3 linked regions of the Notamacropus eugenii genome follow. The protein of the gene in region 1 interacts with the protein of each later gene in a biochemical or structural test. Links are inferred from orthologs where the notes say so. Each region holds a gene or a part of one and is shown on either strand. Other genes may lie near its edges.

What was found.
Region 2: of the proteins of FGA (region 1) and FAM20C, one has a biochemical effect on the other in vitro, tested with the Homo sapiens proteins (2 studies listed by IntAct). The link is inferred for Notamacropus eugenii from reciprocal best matches to the Homo sapiens genes FGA and FAM20C.
Region 3: the proteins of FGA (region 1) and PLAT form a complex in vitro, tested with the Homo sapiens proteins (2 studies listed by BioGRID). The link is inferred for Notamacropus eugenii from reciprocal best matches to the Homo sapiens genes FGA and PLAT.

The regions. Positions count from the first base shown.
Region 1 is NC_092877.1:153,119,368-153,126,478, reverse strand, and holds the start of FGA (fibrinogen alpha chain), read left to right. Parts: upstream 1-4,028; 5' UTR 4,029-4,084; coding exon 4,085-4,138; intron 4,139-7,111. UniProt on the Homo sapiens protein: Cleaved by the protease thrombin to yield monomers which, together with fibrinogen beta (FGB) and fibrinogen gamma (FGG), polymerize to form an insoluble fibrin matrix. Fibrin has a major function in hemostasis as one of the primary components of blood clots.
Region 2 is NC_092874.1:391,528,265-391,536,324, reverse strand, and holds the start of FAM20C (extracellular serine/threonine protein kinase FAM20C), read left to right. Parts: upstream 1-5,024; 5' UTR 5,025-5,844; coding exon 5,845-6,473; intron 6,474-8,060. UniProt on the Homo sapiens protein: Golgi serine/threonine protein kinase that phosphorylates secretory pathway proteins within Ser-x-Glu/pSer motifs and plays a key role in biomineralization of bones and teeth.
Region 3 is NC_092872.1:618,372,084-618,379,185, reverse strand, and holds the start of PLAT (tissue-type plasminogen activator), read right to left. Parts: upstream 3,020-7,102; 5' UTR 2,831-3,019; intron 1-2,830. UniProt on the Homo sapiens protein: Converts the abundant, but inactive, zymogen plasminogen to plasmin by hydrolyzing a single Arg-Val bond in plasminogen.

The sequences.
Region 1 (7,111 bases):
CAATGCCAAGAGTGAGACATGGCTGAAATGAGCAAACAGCAACACTGAAGTCAAGTGGAAAGAACACTGGTTCTCCTTGAGTAAGAGGAACTGGGCTCGTATTTCTCCTCCGGCACTACCTGTGTGACCTTGGTGAGCCAGTTGACTTCTCAGCCCCTGAGGATCGTTCTAGGTCAATGATGCCATGCTCCTAGAACTTTCCCCATACCTATTATTGGTGAAAATTGTATTGCAATTTCAGTACAACAGTCTTTCAGAGTTGAAAACTTGGAAAACAAATTCAGCATCTTCAGATACAACATCATACGCCTCACCTAGGACCCTTGGACACTGTTTGTGTCCACATTATGACCATCATGATTCCGTGGACTGATATATGCATCAGTACTGAAGGAGACTTTGGACTCTGTTTACCTAGAATTTTGCATTTTGAGGTCTGAGTTGAATCTAGTATCATAGACTTTTCTGTTCTGGACAGAAACTTTGAGGGTCTTTCCCTCCCAGATTGATTCTTTGCGAAGGAAAAACTAGGCCATCTTTTGTCTTAATTCCTACCTAGCCTTTTATCACTGAATGGGTGTTGCCTCAGACAAACTGAGACCTAGGAAAGACCCTAGCCTAAAAAGACCAAGATCTCTTACTACATCCTAGACCATTGATAGTTATCCGGACTTCTGTCTTACTTCTGGACTCCTATGACTCTGGAGGAGACAGTGAGGCTGATGACTTGGCATAGCTCTGCCTCACTTAAATACAATTCAAGACATCACTCTTCTGTTGCATTTGTCCTCTTCAAGAACGAAGGATGAAAAACAACCAAGTCAATTCAATTCTGCCAATATTGGCTCCCTCATCTGTGCAGTGTGGATAATGATAGTACCTACTTCACGGTTTTGTGTCTATTGGATGAAGTAATGTATATTTAAGGCAAGGTCTGGGGTCACTTTCCCAACCCATACACAACCTGAAAGGTGCAGTTCCTAGGGTATGCATAGCTGCATCTTCCCTCATTGCTAAGGGGTTGGAAGTTTTACTTTCTTTCTTTCTTTCTTTCTTTCTTTCTTTCTTTCTTTCTTTCTTTCTTTCTTTCTTTCTTTCTTTCTTTCTTTCTTTCTTCCATCCTTCCTTCCATCTTGCAACTTAGCTAAAGTTATTTATTATATCAAATAGTTCTTTTACTTGATTCTCTAGGATTCTCTAAGTATATCACCATACCGTCTGCAAAGCGTGATAGCTTTGTTTCTTCTTTGTCTATTCTAATTCCTTTAATTTCTTTTTCTTCTCTGATTGCTAAAGGTAAAGCTAATGTTTGGAGTTTCTAATGCTACTGCTTATAAGCCCCATCATCAGTTTACTTTCCCACTGATTATCAGTTGATATAAATTATTTGATCCTACTTAATTAGCTTTTAGAAATGAATATTTACTGAAGTGATATGGTAAGAATAACTGATATAAAACATCCCCTCAAACAGGGGACACATTCCTCCACAAGAACATACAAAGGTGAGGGAGAAGCGGAGTCAGGGTTGGAGAGCTTGTGTGGTAAAGAGGAAAATCACAGCTCCTAGTAAGTTGTATTGCTTTCTTTCCCCTCTAACCCCATTCTCCTTGGCAGGGTTCTGATGAAGTTCACCTAGAATATGGTCTACTCATACAGTACAGCTCCTAGAAAAGTCTGGAAATGCTCTTAATTCAGCGCTTCTGGTTTGTCCCTGCCTCCTAATCTGCATGCTACTGTCAGGAGGTCTATTCTGGGGACATTGCTAAGATGGCAATGGGATGTCCCAATCTTCTGATCTTTTGAAATTCACAAAATCATCTTCTGGCCAAGGAGGTGCAGAATATGTTCTTCATTAGCACAAAGAGCATCTACAAGGCTGAAGCCTTGGATGCTTTGTGGTATTGAAAAAAATCCAATGGAAAATAGAGTTCGGCCCGAGCATGTGAGGGACACCACTATTTCTGAAGAAAGGGGAAGAGTGGTACCTGATTTAGTTTCACAAAAAAGAACATTTCAGTGGATTTTGATTTTCAAATTTCTTCAAAAGATTATGTTACTCTGATTATGTTACACTCTGCTTTCCATTGCTCCATCTGAATAGCTGTCTGTCTGTCTATCATTTACCCCTGTTGCTCATCTCCATGAGCTCTCCATGAGGTGTCCTTAGTTACAGTGTCCCAATTCAATTCAACAACCACTTATTAAATACCTATTATGTGTGAAGTATTGGAGATACTAAGACAAAATGAAACTATTCCTGCCTCCAAAGATTTTACATATTTCTGGAGGGATATAATATATGACCAGATAAATAAATATAACATTATGAATCCAACTCCACTTCAGTAGAATTGGGTTCTCTGCAACTTTTGCTAGCTGGCACTAGAAAGTCTACCTAGGGACTTTCCAAGGATGCCATATTTAGTGAACCAAGGAAACTATGCCAAGCAGCAAGCATGATATGACCACAGCTTTAAGTCTAAGAACTTTTCAGGGACCCTGAATTCACTTCCAATTTTGGCCTTTTCTTGTGGTGTTAGAATGTTTCCTGAAAATACCCAGATGCCCATTTCTCATGCCCGACTGGTCACAGCCCTTGTGTCAAGAAATATAAGAAAGAGTAACTTCTGACCCTGACATGGTATTGATGCCCTCCAGCATCTGACTTGTGTTCAAAGGCTCACTCTTTCTACCTTCAATGAGGTGGGAGAATGAAGTATCTAGAACAATCTATAAAGCCCAGGTGGCCTTCCTCAGGGCAGTTCAAGGCTTAAGGGGAGCAGAGCCCTTGGCAAGACAGAACAGAGAAGAGTATATGGGGATAAGGGAGAGCATCTGAGTCAGGACTGAAGCAGTCAGTCAAGACGCACGATTATGCCCAGGAAAGAGAGCAAATATTTCTTAAATACCTACTATGTGCCAGGCACTATGATAAGCATTTTACAAATATTATCTCATTTGATCCTCACAGCAAAACCCATTTTGCAGATGAGAAGACAGAAACAGACAGAGGTTAAATGACATCCCCAGAGTCACACTGCTAGGAAGCGTCTGAAGCCAAATTTGAACTCAGGCCTTCCTGACTCCAGGCCTACTGCTCTATCCACTGCATTGTCTAGTTCTCTGTAGCATGGATAAGAATGACACAAGATAAAAAAATGTGAATAGATTAGAATCTGCACTAATGGAGAGAAATCCATTTCCATGAGTTCATGAACTTTCTGGAGTATTAACGTCATCAACATAATAAACATTTGTACAATACTTTACAACTGTCATCTCATTTGATCCTCCTAATAACCCTAATGAGGTGAGTAGTACAAGTGTTATTGTATTTACAGATGAGGAAAGTGAGACTCAGAGATGTAAAGAAATTTAACAAAGTGTGCGGATCTAATAGGTAGCCAAACCCAGATCTTCTGGCTCTAAAGAGAGTGCCATTTTCCTATTCTATGACTCCTCTTCTTTGGTTACCAAAATTGTTCTGGACTTAGTTCACAAAGCTAATATCAAAGCAGAGATTTGTCAAAGGTTTGCAGGATTCTTGAAATGCAGCTCACTCAGCTGGATAATTTAGGCTTCAAGGTAGGGGTTTATAGTAACCAAATTTATGAGGAGTTGTTAAACAGCCATTTGACTTCATTGTGTTGTAGAGACACTGGTAGTTCCAGTTTGAATCCTCCAGATGAGAAAGTGTGGGCATTTTCTTCCCTTTTCCCATTTGTTTTACAAAATCAACTTCTGGGTAACATTCAATTCACTCTGTTCCAGGAATATGTGTGCTTCCCAGTCCAGCCCAGTCCAGCCCACCCCCTACACCCCCAGTGCTGGTCTAAGAAGTGAATGTCACCTTTGCAACAACTTATCGGAAGCAAACAAGCTAGGAAAAGTTAAGCAACTGTTTCTGGGGCACCGAGCTGACAGGAGGAGAAGGGGATGCAGACTGTCTCTTGACCCTGTAAACATGACAAAGTCAATCATTAACTCAAACTTCTGAGGGCACTTAAATGGGAAGAAGAAAGCAGTGCAAGCTATCCTTCCAACAGAAGTTCTTTGCTATTCATTTCCACCCCCTGAGAAGATGCTTCCAGGGAGGATCTTCTGCCTGGTCCTGTGTGTAGTGGGCACTGCCTGGGTATGCTTCTCTTTATTTACTTTCTTTTTTTATTTCTATCTTCTTTCAGCTTAGCCCACAAAGACTTCCATAAGGGAGCTGCAGTTCTTGTGAGACTGGCCTGCAAACGTGAAATCATTACTATTTATCAGCTTCATAAATTTTCCTGCTTCAGACCAGTTAGAAACTTGGTGTTTCATGGCTGGGGACCCCAACTGCCAGAATGCAGTTTTCTAGATAAGCCTGACCTGTTCCTGGACAAAGGACTGGAGGAAGGACTGTAAAGATTCCAAGGGATGAATGGGAATGGGAGGGGGAGTGGAGGGAAGGTTTTGACATTCTAGTCTGGTCCAGAACAACCAAGTCTTGCAAGGATATTCGAAAAGTCAGGAAATGTCTGCCATGAATAACACCATCATGCTTAGACTCAGTAATTATAGTTAAGAATATTGGTTTTCTCAGACTTTAATGTTTAGTTTCCTACTTTTTGTTGCTTTGACAAGAAATGTTGTTTTTATAGTACTTTTTTGTAGAAATTTTTCACTGCCCTTTTTAAGGGAAATAAGTAATCTTTTAAAATATACGTATTGTGGGAAAAGAGTGTAGACACTTTGAGAATAACTTAAAATGAAGTAAGACCTAGGTTTAAGATCTTATACAATCTTTCTAGTTATACCACATGGGACAAATTTATTTAATTTCTCTGAGCCTCAGTTTCCTCATTTGTAAAAGGAGGAGAGGATAGGCTGAATCTGTGATATCCCTGGTGACTCCCTTGAGAATCAACTTCCTTTGTCACATTAGGTTTGTACCTTCTTTATAATTTATAACCTTAGACGCTTGCCTAGAGCACCAAAAGGTTAATACCTGGGGTCACAAAGGACTTGAATCAGTTCTTCTTGGCTCTCTATCCATCTCAGAATGGTATTTCTCATCCATAAAAATGAGGATAATGATGCTAATGCTGCTGGCCTGTAGTGAGAATAGAGGTTTGCAAACCTTGAAGTACCAGATAAATGTGAATTATTATTTAGTCAGAACGATGGGGAGTTGGTAAAATAGATAATGGTGTTTCAGAAGTAATGATAGTCTCATGAACTGACTATACTTTCTGAAAATTGTCAACCTTTTCTCCAGGAAATTGTCTAAATACAGAAAAGCTTCATGTGGCAATATTCCCAAAGTCTTTAAAAAAAGAAAAAAAAGTTATTATGTGTTTATCGATGAGGCACTCAACTCTCATTTATCCAAAGTCTGGTTTCTAGTGTTTCTTTCTGTTAGACAAATTCATTGCTTCTCTTTAAATGATTGGAAAAATCAGCTCTGGAGAAAGAATGGAGAGATCGGAGACGCTTAAATGAGCCAGTCAAGTTTTGCTGCTCAGTGTCTGGCTCTAGCCAAAGATGAAATAGCAGATGAAGTTGAAATTGTTAGCTAAAATGAGGCTTTGAGCAGTGGGAACTGAACATTGGATATACTGTCAGTTATAAGCTAGTTTTGCTAATCTCTCTCTCTTTCCTTTTTCCTTCTTTTCTAATATTCCCCCAAGGAGGGAGAGTTCCATGAAGTGGAATCTTGAGAATGAGAAACGAATGCCTGGTATTTTTAAAGGCATTTAAAAACTTAAGAAAGTTATAAATATAATGAGGCTTAGGTGATATACGGATTTCAATTACTCTTGCTTTCTGGGTCCTTCATTACTACAGATAATCAAGATTTGACTTTGTTGCCTTTAGATAACTTCAATTTGATGACAGGATTTTAATTGTTTCTCTGTTACTATTGTATGCAACAGACAAAAAAATCATAATGGCTTGCATCCCTTAACAAGTTCTAGGGAGCTGCCCCCAAGTTATAGGAATCAGTCTTTTTCCTGGGCATATTAAAACATTTCCAACAAAGTCCTCAAAAATTGAGTCTTAAAATAGAAATGGTGGAGCCCCACGCTTAGCTGTTACTTTTCAAAATGGAAAATCTCCATGTGAGAATTTTTCCTATCATGTTTTGAATCTGGGATCACAAATGTTATTTGTGGATCTGCTTTTAGAATTGAGTCACCCAAATAAAGTCCCACAGAGTGGCGAGCTTTTTATCCAGCTTTCACTACTCCAAAGCAGAAAATCTCAGATGAACAAAAATGTTGAAAGATGATTTTTGGACTCTGAATTGTCATGATAATCACATCTATGTCACTGGCATATGATGGATCAAGCTATAAATTCATCTTTAAAGCTTAGTAGCCTTGTGACTATGAATAAGTCATTTAACTCTTTGAGTCTCAGTTTCCATCTATAAAATCAAGATAATAGTACTTTTAGTACTTACCTCACAAAGTTGTAGTGAGGTTCAAATGATGTAATGTATGTAAAGTGATTTGTAAACTTTACAACTCTTTATAAATGCCTTCATCAATGTGGTCTTCATTAGAGGAGACTGCCTGGAGAAAGTTGGATTTGAAGGATGGATAGGGTTTGTATGAGTCAGGAAGAAGGGATATTCCAAGTGGGAGTGGGGTGGACCACAGGGATGGAGTGAACAAATACTTTGAAACAAGAGTAAGTATTGTGTTGGAGAAAAGTGAAGAGGTTGATCTGTCTGAAGTGAAGGATGTGTCTAAGAACTATAGATTAATGAGGCTGCTGGTACCTGGTGCCTGGATTTTATTTCTGAACTGGATGGTGACTTTGCCAGAGGGTGTAGAAGGGCTTGAGACACTCACCGGACTACCATTAGGATACTTCCGTAATCCACTTCCCAACTAAGCAGGAAAACATGTTGAAATGCAAGCTTACCCTTTCCAAAGCCTGTCTCTGTGTTTCTCAAGTCAGTCCACAAGATAGTATGGAACCATTCAAGTTTCTCAAAGTAGAAATAAAGACTATCTCTCCTCTCCAAAGCTTTGGCACCAGCTCCATCTCTCGCATAGTCACAAAGGGTGGCAACACCATTCTCCCCATGTTTTGCAAGCAGCATGCCACCAAGGTCACACCCTAT
Region 2 (8,060 bases), on another chromosome or scaffold:
AGGAATAAACAAGTGGCCTAAAGCTGTGTTATCCCCAAGTACAACCTCTGTGGCACTCAGAAGTTACATAAAGTCCCTCTAATGAAACCACACAGCTAGATGCTAACTTATTCTGAGGGAAATAAACTGCTGTGGTGCGTAAGAAAGAGGGCAGCAGGCAAGCACATATATTTTAGATTAAGAAGCACAGGCAATGACCTTTTTGGGGAGATTCCTATGGCTCCTGTCAACATCCTCAGGTACCAGGTAGTCGGGAATGCAAAAATGGAGATTACACAGACATGAAATATCCTGAAATATCTGAATAAAATGTCTGAAATTCACAGGTTAGTCACTCCTTTGGATGAATGTTTTTTTCAGCTCTGTAAAGTATAAATGGGTAGCTAGATGGGGAAGTAGATAAAATGCTGGGTTTGAAGTCATGAAGACTCATCTTCCTGAGGTGAAATCTTGTCTTAGACACGTAATAGTTGTGTGACATTGTGCAAGTCACTTGACCCTATTTTCCTCAGTTTCTTTATCTGTATAGAGAGCTGGAGAAGGAAATGGCACACTACACCATTATCTTTGCCAAGAAAACCCTAAAAGGAGTCATGAAAAGTTGGACACAACTGAAAAACAACTAAACTTGGACCACAAAATATATATCTGCTCTCTAGGAGGAGGACAGGTTAAGCCATTGAATAATAAACAGGGATGGGAAAGAACACAATATCTAGGGAGAGAGAGCTTGGGGGGCTCTAAGGGGCATCTTAGAATCCTGTAGTCTTATCAAAGGATTACTTATTTAAGGATGTAAAGATGCTGTGCCACTAGAAGAGAAGCTGCACAAAGAAAGAAGGTCAGGGTGGAGGCCCATTGGCAACATATTATCTACACCTCAAATTTTCAGGAAGTAACTAGGAATCTGATGCAATGGCTTTAAAGGTCTACCCCAAGCAACTACATATTGTAATAACATACTGTAAAAAATGTGTCCTTCATCCACTTTGCTTTTAACCTGAGTAGATTTCTAGTTCAATCTCTTTTGAGTAACCTTGGATGATATTGAGAAGGCCCTGTCATGTTTTGGGGCTCACTGCCATCAGCAAAATGTTACCCGTGAGTAGAAGCTTCTGGAAAACCTTTTCACCAATAGGGAATCTGTTCCCTATATGGACTCTAAGATACTGGCAAACGTGGGAGACTAAAAAAATCATAGTTGGGCCACTTGTTCAGGAATACCAGGGGGAAAATCTGAATTGCAAAAACCAGTTGTTGTTTTTTCAATATGGTGACCATATTTCTTCCTTGTGAGCAGATTACTACCCCAACTCTTCCAGTTTTTCCCCATTTCCCAATCAAATTTCAACTATAACAAGCTAATTTTTCTTGCTCCAATTTTCTTCACAAAGTAAAATACTTATCTTTATGGTCTTACTGGTTTGTTTGACAGTTGCAGATCTATGCTTTACATAGCCTTGATTTCACTTCTGGAAATATTTGTTTTTCATTTTCTGTTGGCTCCATATTGAGCATGGTTGCTTATTTGTAGAACTTGAGAGCTTAAAGAAACCTTCAAAGATACTTTTTCCAACCCCCTTGTTTGACAGAGGTTTGAGAGAGATGACAATATTTGTCCATTCACACATCCAATTAGTGGCAGAGCCTTTACAAATTATTCAGGTCTTCTGTCTCTGAGTCCAGTGCCCTTTTTACTACACTGTATCAGTAAGGTAACACTTCTTTTTATATAATGATTTCTATATTCTTGCTCTGGCCATAGATAGCCAACTCTTGCTTAGACACAATTATGATCATATACAATTACATATGCACTATATAGGATCATAGACTTAAAACTGGAGGGGACTCCAGAAGCTGTCTTGAGTCCTAGGGAAGTTAAGTGACAGACCCAAGACCACACTGGTAGGGACAGAGGTGGGATTTGAACCCAGGACCTCAGCCTCCACAGCCAGTGCTCTTTCCAATATGCCTCAAAAATCCCAAACAAAGGCTAATGCATTTCAAAACCACAAAACAAATTGTTTCATTTTGAATATTTATTTCCCAAGGAGACAATATCTTTGCTAAGTTTAATGTTAAGATTAATTTGTATTCCCTAAGCAAATGCTACCCGATAGAAAGGAGAGGTGGCCCAAAAGCATTCTGAGAGATGGGAAGAAGCCTCTTGAAGTCCTTCTTCTTCCCCACTGGCCCTCATAGCTAATCCAAAAATCAAGGTAGTGTGGCGTTGGGAAAAGATTGTTGGATTTGGAATCAGGAACTGATAGTATACCAGCTCTAACACTGTGTGCCTATAGGCAAGTCCCTTTATCTTTTTGTGTCTCAATTTCTTCATCTATGAAATGGGTGTGACAGTCTTTGTTCTTCTCTGGGTGTTGTTGTGAGTAGAGGCAGAGTAATATAGTCAGCCAGTCGGTCAACAAGCATTTATTTAGAGGTTACTCCCTACCAGGAATTATGCTGTGTTGGAGATATAAAGAAAGATTTAAAAGAAAAAAAAAAAACGTTGTCCCTATTATCAATGAACTCACATTCTGACAGGGGCAAATAACTTTGTACCCGTAGATTACAGACTACATCCAGATTAAATGGAACATATTCTCAAAAGAAAGGAAGGGAGGGTGGGGTAAGTGAAAAGGAAAGGGAAGATGAGAAAGGCCTTCTTCAGAATGTAGAAAGAGTCCTGGCTCTGTGGTTACAAGGCTCAAGTTTGAATTTTGGAGTTTTTTCTATCTGTCACATAGCATGAACTTGGAAGAGTTATTTTGCTTCTCCTGGTCTCAGTTTCCTCATCTGCAAAATAAGGAGGTTGGACTAGGGCATGGTCCTTAGCCCTTTTTCTGTCGTTGACTCCTTTGGTGAACCCTGAGGACCCCTTCTCAGAATATTTTTACAAGCATAAAAGGACTAGGAGGAAAGACAATTATTTTGAAATATAATTATCAAAATATTTTTTGAAAGACAAGTTCAATATTTGTGCTACCTAACTCATACGGCTGATGTAAGCTATTACATTATTATTAACATTATTATTAATGTTATATTGTATAACATGACAGTATAATATAAGCAGCTACATTATCATTAGTATAATATTATATTATTAACATGACCATGTAATAGAAACAGTTACGTTTTTAGTACATTATATTAGTAATGACTGATGGCAAGTAGTTATGTTATTAATATATTATGCTATATAATTAATATAACCACATAAGTCAATAAGCATTTAGTAAATGCTTACTGTGTGCATAGCAGGAAAATAAATGAAAAGATCTCAAAATGTTAGGTGAGTGCTCTAATAAAATAGGTTCTTAACCTGAAGTTCGTGAACTTGTGTTTTTAATTTTAATAACTGTTTCAGAATAATTGGCTTCCTTTGTAATCATAAGTATTTTTATTTTTAATACATTTGAAAACCTTTTTCAAAGAAGAGGTCGATAAGATTCGCCAGACGGACATGGTGGAGAGATGAGGGAGGTGGTCCACAGCACGCAGAAAGGTTAACAGCCCGAGTCCCATACAGCGATTCCATCCCAAAGTGGGCAAACCGACAGCGGAAGAGTTCCAGCTGCATACGTCGTTTTAATCCAACTTTAAGAACCAGGTGCTTCAAGGGTTAAAGACAGGGCTGCCCGCAGCCTGGGTCCTGTTCTCATTTTGTGAGTTGTAACTGAGTCCAAAGCTGAGGATTAGCCAACGCTCCTTCCCAAGGCCTCGGCAGTCTGGCATCTCATCTGCGTGGCAAAAAATAAAAAAATAAAAATCAGAAAACACTCCCAGTTAAGGGAGTTTCAGCATCAAAGCCACGGGCAACAACACGAACACGGACACAGAGAGACACACACAGACACAGACACAGAGACACACACACAGACACACAGACACACACACAGACACACACAGACACACACACACAGACACACAGACACACACAGACACAGACACACACACACACACACAGACACACACACACCCGCCTATTTGATCTCCAATCTCCCCCTCAACCTCCCCCACCCTGCTCCCTGCCGGACCGAGAATAGGGTCAGTGCCCTGATCTCATTTTTCACTAGGGCGTTATCTACTGAGCTGGAATCCGCCCCGGCAGCACGAGTCTATCCCAAATCCTCATACTCGGCACCCGCTGCTTCTTGGGGGGGGGGGGCGCGTTCACTTTATATTTTTACCTTTTGTTGTCGATTTAGGAGACGCTTGTAAAAGGGGAAGAGAAGACGGGGCGGGGGTGAAAACAAGAAATAGACATTCTCTCCTCCCTACTCCCCCTCCCCCCCCCCCCAAAGAAAGGAAAAGCCGTCTCCTGCCCAGACAATGACATAGCAGAATTCCTGTTTCCCCTAGTCTAGGCAGTCAGACTGCTGTAATACTTTGCAAGGCTATCAGCCTGGGGTTCCTTTTCTCTCTTTCTCTTTTTGCAAACCTTTGAGAAAAAGGCGCCCTCTCCTTGCCCTGCTAGGAGCTGCAGAGAAATGGAGGGGTGAGGCCAGGGCGGGAGGAGGGGGAGAAGGAGCAGCGAAAAAAAGGGAAAGAGAGAGCTTTGCTTTCTTGGTGGAGGCTTTCCTGTTACTATCACTGTAGCGTTTTTTTAGCCAATCTCTTCCCTATGACGTCTGGGAGGCTGGATTCATGGCTTGCACATAATATTTAACACACCCACCGAGAAGTGGAGCTGCAGCAGTACTAGCCCAGTCAGTCTCCAGCATGCAGTGTAGCTGAAAGGGGGCATTCACACTGCACCTGCCCAAAGCTCTGTTCTCTCCTCTCCGAGGTTGGCTTTCTCTTCCTCGCTTCGCCCTTTCCCCTTCTCCCCACCCCCCTCTTCTCTCAGGGCAGAAATGTAAGTCTGAGCCGAGATCCAAGGAGAGACATCATCTCCCCCCCTCCCCACCCTTTTCCCCTCCCCACCCCTCGGCAGAGCAGCTACCGATTCCTGGGAGCGTCGCCTTCCCTCCCTTCCCAGCGTCCCCCCCTCCCCCCCAGCTCCGTGCGTCCTTTGTGCCAGCTCTCCTTTTCGCCTTGGCGGCCGTGTCAACGCCGAACCGTGCAAGTGCCTGGATATCGAGCTTCAGCGCCGCGGGTTCGAGCCCAACCAGCCGGGACTCTGGCTTCCCCGGGGCGCTGGAGGTGGTGGTGGTGGATGGAAGGATTTGGAAATCTTATAAGCGCAGCCTTTGCAAGCCAATGTTTGTAACCGGGCTGCGGACGAGAGCGCGTCCCGTTGCTTCTCCTCCTGCTGCATCGCGGGTCCCTTTCCAGAGGATGGGAAGACGCGTCTTCTCTAAGCACTATGGATGATTCTTTTTTCCTCTCCTGAATTCTTCACTGGGTGCTGCATGTGTGTGTTTGTGCGTGCTTTTTATTTTTAACCCCCATCCTTTTTTTTTCTTTCCCTTTAGTCGTCCTCCATCTCCATCCTCCTTTCGGAGTGGGGGGGGGGAACCTCCCTGAGATCCATGTATTAGGCAGAGTAATGATAATAATAAAAGAACAGTTTCTAGATGGCACGCTTTGGGGAATTTTTTGGCAGTTTTTTTTCTAAAAACAAAAAAGGGAGGTAGTGAAGACTCTTGGCTTCTAAGTGTATTTATTTTTTAACTGTCTTATGAAGATAACTTTATTGACTTTAATTGTTTGATTTGTCCATGAGTAGAACAGAATTATTTTTTTAAAAGCTTTTTCTGTGAAAAAGCCTCTCCCACCCACCATTACGAACCCCTCCTCCCCCACCCCTCCATACACACTTTTAGCTATTTAAAACTCTTAATTTATTAGTCTCCTCCTCGTGGCAACCCCCAGTCTCTCTAAGTCTCCTTGGCCATGAAAATGATCTTGGTCCGCAAATTCCGGGTGCTCATCCTCATGGTGTTTTTGATTGCCTGCACCATGCACATCGTGATCGATCTGTTACCAAAGTTGGAGAAGCGCGCGGCTAGGAGTGATGGGGACCCCGGCTGCTCCTGCTCTCACCCCCCGAGCGAGGAAGCGCAAGGCTGGGGGAAGCAGAGGACTAAGAGCGGGGCTGATTCGGGCTGGCCTAACAAACACACCCTGCGGATCCTGCAGGACTTCAGCAGCGACCCGAGCTCCAACCTCACCTCCCACTCGCTCGAGAAGCTCCCCGGGACCGGAACAGGGACCGGCGCCGGGGCCGGGGCCGGGACAGCGGCAGCCGCGGACAGGTCCGAGGCAGCGGCGGCGGCGTTCAAGAGGCTGGAGCCCGGCGGTGGCGGAGGCGGAGTGCAGCGAGGTCTCCCCCACAAACACCTCATCCAAGATGGGAGTAGGGCGAGCAAAGTGCCGCTGGGGAAGGACGGCTCCAAGCTGGTAGCCCTGTTCCAACACCCTCTCTATAATATCGCCATTCCGCCTCTCACAGAGGACGATGTCTTGTTCAACGTGGAGAGCGATATTCGCTTTAACCCCAAAGCGGCTGAAAATCAGGAATGGTGAGTGGAGTGATAGAGGAAGGGACAATGTTTCTGTGGCCGCAGCTGGAAAGAACACCAGGGAACCCTTAGGCGTTGAGGAGAGGGGTGGTTTCTTTGGAGGGACGGTAGAGAGGCACTGGGGGTGGGGGAGTGGGGGACGAGACGGGGAGGATGCTTCCTAAAATTCACTCTCAAGTTTTGCCATACATTACTAGCACAATTAGAATTTTCCTTTTAAAGTCCTAAAGGGGCTGAGGGTGAGGGTGGGATGAGGGTGAGGAGGACTGAATTCTACGGAATTGCGGACATCACTAAAAGGGGCTCAATTCATCCTAGTCAGAGCCATCAAGACCTGAAATGAAAATTATCTTAGTGATTCTACCCAGCCAGGGTTAGAGATACCCTGGTGTCTTAAGTCCAGAATGTTTTTTGGGGGCTAGGAGAAAGTGAGATCTTATGTAGAAGATCTTCCCTAAATACAGTTCTTACTGATCTGAAAATTAAATACATAAACAAATAGCCCCTATTTACCACATCTCACTTAGAAAGCATTTGTGGTTGATGCTTTAAATAAGGTTGAAACCTTATTTGCCCTGAGAATGATTTCCTGGTGGGTCTCAGACGTGCCTCACGAATCTTTTAAAACCAATCATTGAGAATAAAATAAACTTGTCCAATGGACAAGGGAAGCAAATGAGATCACCAGAAGTGATTCTTTGGCGGAAGACTGACAATTGCCCCTTGAACTCATCTGAGCTGAGACTGTAGGGAAGGCTTTATGTGACTCTCAGGTGATGATCAGGGCCACTGTAGATCTATCCCTCAGAGTGGACCACCTTCTAAAAATGGCCTGATCTAAGCCCTCTCTCCCTTCTTCCCTTCTTCCCAACTTCCCAGATCAAAATAAACACACAGATGTTGTAACCCAGAGTAGTGAAATATTAACTCCCTCCAAGGCCGGAGAAAGTAACTGTCAACCAGTATTTTATATAATAACCTCCTCAATGAACAGATGGTAAGAAAACTTCAAGATGTTAATGTCTGACAATATCCCTTCTCCCTCAACATATAGGTTGTCTTTCCTACCTCCACCACCTTCAGGCTTTGAGGAGCTTATCCAATCCCTACCCCTACCAATTCCTTCCCCCCATCCCACCCCAGTATAACTCCTTTCCCCCCACCCCCACCCCTAGCATTTAGTAGGCTCTGTACTCTGCCTTCCCCATTGATTTTTAAAGGGAAAGCCTGAACATTTGAAGGGGATGGGGAGGAAAGATATTCAGAGTCTTGTGGCCAATACAACAGCACCCTCTCTCCCACTCAGGGACATTGTTCAGGCCTCTGTCACTGCTTGGTACATACAATAAGTATGAGACAAGCTGCAAGAGAACAGTCACTCTGATTTCTGTCTTCCATCCCCTTCCCTTTTCCATTGTGGGTTTGGGTTTGCAGAACAGAAATCATCTGGAAGGGGTGACCTTTTGGGCCCCAAGTTAACCGTCACTTAGGAAAGTTCCTTTTTCTTCCCTTGACTCAGCTTCATGCTGCAGTCAGAGGACTAGCCACAGTGACCCTATGTACCACTGACCTCTGGAAGAGGGATTT
Region 3 (7,102 bases), on another chromosome or scaffold:
AAATGTCTAGAACTAAATGCAACACCTCGAGTATGGTCTTACTAAGGTGGCATATGGCAGGACTCATCACATCCCTAGTTCTGCATCTCTTAGTTTGACCCCAGATTATACAAGTTTTGTTTTTTTTTAATGCCCATTGCACTAAAAATGCACGCTTGCTACCACTTATTTACTTTTTTCCCTATATAACCCTATTGACTCATACAGAGCTTTACATTCCACTAAAATCCTCAGATTTTATTCAAACAAATTGCTGCCTAGTCATGACACCCTTATTTTGTCCTTGTAGACTTAATTTTCTAAACCTGACTCATCCCAATTAAATGTAATTTTGTTAGATTTGGCCCAATGTTCTAGTGCTTAGCACAGTTCACAGTAGGCACTTAATAAATGTTTATTGACTAATGACTGACTAAACTGCTCTAGCTTCTACAGAGTTTTCTAATGCTTTCCAAGTCTTGTGCTCTTTGAAAATTTCATAAACTTGTTAAGCTTCATTGAAGTCACTGATAAAAATGTGGATCAGCACAGGACCAAGTACTGATCTTGAGGAATAATAACGGAAAGAACATAAGCTTTGCAGTCAGGCAAACTGGGTTCAAATCCTGGCTAGGATATTTACAACCTAGATGACCTTGGACAAGTCACCTATCCATTCTGAGCAGGCTAGAAACTGAAAGCCTTCAGGTAGGGGAAGGGGCCAGATACATTTTTTGGTGGTTGAGGAGAGCAGGCTGGCATTTGGCAGCACGCACCTATTATCAATGAGTGTACCCCAGGGCTTTGTCCTGTGCTTTTTCTCTCTCTACACTCTCTGTCTTGGTGATCACAACATTATCTGTGGATGCAAAGATCATCTCTGTACAGATGACTTCCAAATTTACATATCCAGCCCTCATCACTCTCTCCTGAGTTCCAATATTTCATCAACAACTGTTTGCTGTACATTTCAACCTGATGTTTAATAAATACATTGAATCTAATTATAGAATTAATCTCTTTCTTCAGTTTTCCCCCAGATGTTTGGCCTCATGTAGACTTGACTTTAGCTGATCGTACTTAAACACCAGATGAGAGAGCTGATAGCACTATTATAATCTGCTCAACTAATCAACATTCATTTACTCAGTAAGGCTCCTCTGACCAACAGGAATTTACAAGGTGGTGAGTCAGACTTCCTAAAGTTCTGCAGTGCCTGGCCGTGTCTATGTTTCATGCTCTCGAAGCTGCATCTCTCTATCTCAGATGATACTGCACCACGTCCCAGAGGAGCACAGATCACTTCCACCAAGGCCAGACTTACAAAAGAGAAATTATCTCGAGTATCGAGAGAAACTGGCTCCAGGCATTTGGAGATAAACTGAAATGGCCTAGGGGAGACAGGACTAAGAAGGAGCAGTGTGGGCTAAAGAAAGCTACTATTTGCTTGGGTTAAATTTCTGAGACTCTAAAGCTGGAATCTTTGAAAAGGAAGGCTAGCCCACACCGAAGGGAGGAAAGGTGCTATTTATAATTCAATAGCCAAGGTGTCCTGACTAATGCACCAATAGGAAGCATTTTTTTTAAGCTAAGTGTTCACATATTGATTCAAGACCTTCCAAATGTCTAGATCCTCAGATGCCCCCAAATATCCATGGGAATGGGAGAGTATTCTTCACTGGGTTGAAAATATAAAAAACTATTAGCAGACTATTTCCTTTTCTCCTGTTCCTCTTTTTTTGTTTTTTTTTTCTTTGGAAGAGAATGAATGAAAGACCACATTAGTGGCTTGAGCTGTTATCAAGTAGTCAGGAGACCTCAGCTGGCAGTCCAGATCTACCACCAAGTTAACTGTTTGACCTTAGAACCACTTGAACCACTGTTCTCCTTCATGCTGTTCGCCACCAGTGGTCTGAGGACTGAGGTATGTTTGCCTCCTTTCCTCCTTGGGAGGTTAAGAAAATGAAAGATTACAGGAGTGAAAATCTAGAGAGGCTTATAGGCTTCCAGGGGGTAAGTGCTATATGATTAAAGGCTATTCAGCTTATTTTTTTTTCCACAATTAGAGAGAGAAATCCTTAAAGTACCCTGTCTATCATCATCCAGGTAAGAAAGTTGGAGACAAAAAGGAGGGAACATGAGGAGGAAATCTGGGGAACGAGCCCAGAGGTCTTTGTGTGTACAGATCACTTCTCCTGCCCACCCCTCCACTCCCAACCCCCTCACTCCCCTACCTAGCACACCTCAGCAGGAAACTCCAATCATGCAAAAGAGATGTTCACCTTCCCCCTTTACCTTCCAATTCCTTCTGCTAATTAGGAGACACCCAGCCAGTATCAGGCAGGTAAACTGGCATCATGTTAATGTCCCGGAGGAAGATGACTTCAGGTTCATTAGTCATCAAGTGTTTGCACATCATTTTTGCAAACTGCTTTTCACTTTTTCCTGACTCTGCATATCAGAGGCTTCTTCTCCAAGGGTTATACCTATTAAACTCTCCTACCCATGCCACAGAACTACTGGAAAGTTGTGGACTGGCTTTGTGCTTCTTTCTTCTTTCATCCCTTCTTTCTTCTTTTCTCTCTTTATCTCCCTTCCTTCCTTCCTTCCTAATGTAAACAGCACTCTCTATTACCCCTACTATGGCCCCAACACTGCATTAAGTAAGCCCCAGGGCAAATGGTGAGAGCTGTATGAAAGAGGTCCCACTTCAGCCTCCTTCTATCCACAGTGCAAAGCTAATACTAACTTTCAGAAATCCCTTTATTGTTGGGGTTTCCTCGGGATGCCTAGCAAAGGGAAAAGAGGAGCCCAGCTAACAGACAGTGGATATGTAATACATAAGACCTACCTCTCCTGGTCTCCTGTACCTCTCCAAGGACTTTCTGCCAAGTTCCAGGCTCGTGGCTGAATCTCAGCTCTGAGTTCCCTGAACAGCTCCCGGCTCCTTTAAATTCCAGTGACAGAGGTGGGGTCTGTTGCATGGAGTGGGCGTGTTTCTCCCCTCTAGGAGAATGCCCAGTGGAGAGGCTGGAGAGATGGAGGCAAGCTGGGGCGGGCCTGCTTTTATTGCTAAGGAGGGGGAGGAAGTATGAGATAGCCAACCTAGCCTGCTCTGTCTGGCCTTGGGCCAGTCTGTATTATTCACTGGGTTTGATTTTGTAAAGACACACTTGGATTTCTAAGTAAGTATATAAATAAACAAGTGCTGGGAAGTTTCTTTGTCCAGACCTGGGGTCCCACTGCAGTTACCTGGCCTCCACTGACATGTGGTGGAGGGTTGGACAGGTTTAGGCCCACCAATTCAAGGATAGGATAGCAAGCAAGGCCAGATGGAGCCAAGGGATGAGACCACCGAGAGGAGGGGCAGGCAATGGTCAGATGACAACTGGGAAATGTTGTCCTGCCATAGAGTCATAGACTGGAGGGGACCTTAGAGGTCATCTAGCCCAATCATCTTATTTGGCAGAGGAGGAAACTGATGTCCAGAGGCAGGAAATTACTTGCCCAAGGTTACTCAGAGGGCAGGACCACCCAAGCCTAGTGTTCTTTCCATTACACCACACTGCCAGTCACCTACGACTAAAGCAAGGTCCCCACCCCAAAGTGTCTCCCACCATCTGTCATAGTGCCTAAAATGCCACCCTTTGAGTTATTCTATTTGTTCTTGGCGGCTTTTCAATTTTCCAGAATTTCACATTAAAAATGTGAATACCTCTGGGATTAGGTTATCTGGTTATCAGCCAATACCCTAAAGGGGCCTGTACCAGTACTGGAAAGAGACCATAGTTGTGGGCTCAGGGAGAGGAACCCTGAAAAGAGACATAGGAGAGATAAAAGGATAAAAAAAAATTGTCAACGGCAGACTTCTTTGCCCATTTGGCAAGATCTGCTTGTAAAGAGCCATCATGAAAAGGGGGCACCTTGGAATAGAAGGTGTTTAGCAAGCTGGAGCAGCCATCCGAAGTGAGCTATGATGAGCTTTTCACAGGAGAGAATATTATCTATTAAGTGACTTAACAATTAGCATTTCAGCAATTAGAAGAACTGACCTTCAAGGTCCTTCACAATCTGACCCTTGACCATCATTTTAGCTTTATTTGATAACTCCCCTCCACACCTCTACACTCCAGACAAATTGACCTATTCTCTAATAGCTTCCAGACAAGGTTCATGGTTTTCCCTATGCTCAGAATGCCTTCCCCTCCCCTTCTTCAGTTGCTGAAGATCTACCTATCTTACCAGAACCCAACTTAAATGCACCATGAAGCTAGCAACAACTTTCTGTCTGAGACTCCTCATAGCACCTTATCTTATACTATCATGTTATTTAGAGTATTATGATTGACTCTACAAATCTATAAGTTTGATGAAGGCAGGGACTACATCTCATCTAAAGCTTGTATCTCCCCCTCCAGGGCCTAGCACCGTGCTCACACTCGTAAGTTGTTCATTAAATGTTTGTGCAATTGAATTTACCAGATGCTGCTCATGCAGATCTCCGAGCAGCTCTGTTGGCTAAATCAGGAAAGGGAATTACTCACATTCCAATGAATATGAGATGGTTTTCCCTACCCCCAGCAGAATTCCAGGAGCACTTTAGAATAATACTGAATTATTAGCTACTGGATTAATAGAAATGAATCCTGCTTTTAATTGTGACAAAGAAGGAGAGACGAGAAGAAAAAAATGAAAATTAAGCCTAATTCAATCACAGTCTATGGGAATTTCACTTTTAAAAAACCTTTTTGTGTGTGTGTTATTGCTTACTAGCGAAATTACAGATCTTTTTTAAAAAATTTTTTTTGGGGAATGACAGAGTATGTGGGAGGAAAGCAAAAGTACACAGAAAAGAGGTTAAAAATGATAGGAACCAGGTGTCTACTCTATATGTGATTTGCAGGATGTCGACATAGCCCCTTCCTGGCCTCTGTGACCTTGAAAACAAATCCCCAGTGAGAAAGAATGATTTTTCCAGAGTCAGACAATACATATTTCAAATAATCAAGGATAATTTTATGAACAAGACCAAATAGAATCCTAAGGAGTGCTGGGACAAAGGATAGCTGGCAAGGAAGTGCTCTCTCAAGAGTTCCCAAGTTTGGCACTGTTTCTGTGGTTCCATGACCTTCCTCTCCACAGGTCCCATGAGTCATAGTCTCAGAGCAACATCGTGGGGAACAACTAACAGTGATGGGCCCCAATTATCAATTAAATAGGCAACAGGACATGGCATTAGAAAGGAGAACTAAAATCAGACCCTAATCATCCGAAAAAGAAATGACATCATGTCTACTGCAACCTGAAGGAGAGAAGTGGGTAAACCAAGGGGGCTGAGACAAGGTGGCTTAAGACAGAAAAGGAAGAGGGAAAAGAGCGTTTGACTTCAAAGTTTATGGAGTATATTCTGGTAGTCAATGGTGTTGAGGGGAATGGATCTTTATGGTTCTGAAATCTCCTTAGTATCTTTCTAGCATGGATTTTCCTAAATCTTTATCCAGACCAGTGACAAACAAGGAAGAGGGATCATATTAGATCCTTGAAAACAAAATTAAGACCAATAAGTAGAAGTTACAGTAGGCAGATTTAGACTTCATAAGAAGGAAAACTTTTTAATGATTAGAGTTGTCCAGAAGTGGCAGAATAGGCAGTGTTAAAGGTAGTGAGTTCCTCATCAGTGAAGGTTTTCCAATGGAAGCTGGATGGCCACTTTGTTAGCAAGGATCCTCTCATGAACTTATTTATATTTTCAATATGCACGTCTGCTTCAAGGTGTCAAATCCCCTAAGGCTACTATCTACTGTGTAAAATAATATTGCTTTCTATCTTCCCACCTCTGCTTTTTCCATTCCATTCTTTCCATCCCTGCCAGGTTAATACTTTTCTGATCAGGTTACTCCTGTGTTTAAAACCATTCACGGAACATGATGCTATAGAAAGTACATTAGACTTGGAGTTAGGGAGACCTGGGTTTCATTATTACCTCTGACATTTACTAGTAGCATGTCCATGATCAAATTATTTAAACTTTCTTAACTCTGTGTCTTCATCTTATAAACAGGAGTAATAATACTTCTGATACCTACCTCATAAGATTGGGGGATAACACGTAGGAGGCACTTTGCAAACCTTAAATATAAGTGTCAGGAATTACTATTGTCTACAAATAAAGTTCAAGTCCCTTAATCCCTTTAGGGACTACCATGAGCTGGCACCATCTTTCCCTTTCCTGGTTTATTTCAATCTGCTCTCCTTTAAGTACCTTATTCAGGATTGTGCTGGTAAATGCTTGACAACTGGTTCTCAAAAAAATGTATACAGGGCACACTTTGGGGGTGGGGTAAGTGGGGTTAAGTGACTTGCCCAGGGTTACAAAATTAGTAACTGTCAAGTGTCTGAGGTTGGATTTGAACTCAGGTCCTCCTGACTCCAAAGCTGGTGCTTTCTCCACTATGCTACCTAGCTGTAGCAGGACATACTTTCAAATTTAATTTGTATTATTAACATTTTCTTTATCACTTTCTTAAGTCTATTAAATCAATAAAACGAAATCAAGACTTGGTTTGTAGTGATTTCTAAGGTATTAATCTCACTTTGATATTTTAATAATAATATAATAATAAGATCTAGCACACTCCTGTCTTTGATACAGATGAAACAGGTTGCTCACCATCTTCTGTACACACACCATGCTGTGCCTGCTCTGTGTCTTTGCTCATACCCTCCCAGCTCCTGGAAAATTCTTCCTTCATCTTTGTCTGTTGCAATCCTACCTGTACTTTGAATCCCTGCTCAAATGCTTCCTCCTCTAAGAATACTTCTCTGATTCTACCAGATGGAAATTCCTCCTTCTACCTCAGATGTCATAAACTATTTTGTTATTGTCTTGTGCACTCATCATATATTACACTGATTTTATCTTGTCCTGCAACTCTTCTGAAGTTATTATTCCAATTAGTTTTCTGTTGACTCTCTAGTTCTCTAAGAAAATCATATCATCTGCAAAAAAAAAATAACTTTCTTTCTCTGTCTATATTTAATCCCTAAATTTCTTTTCCTTGTCTTACTGCTATAGTTAGCATTTCTAGTATTGTGTTAAATAGTAGCGGTGATATGGGTCTCC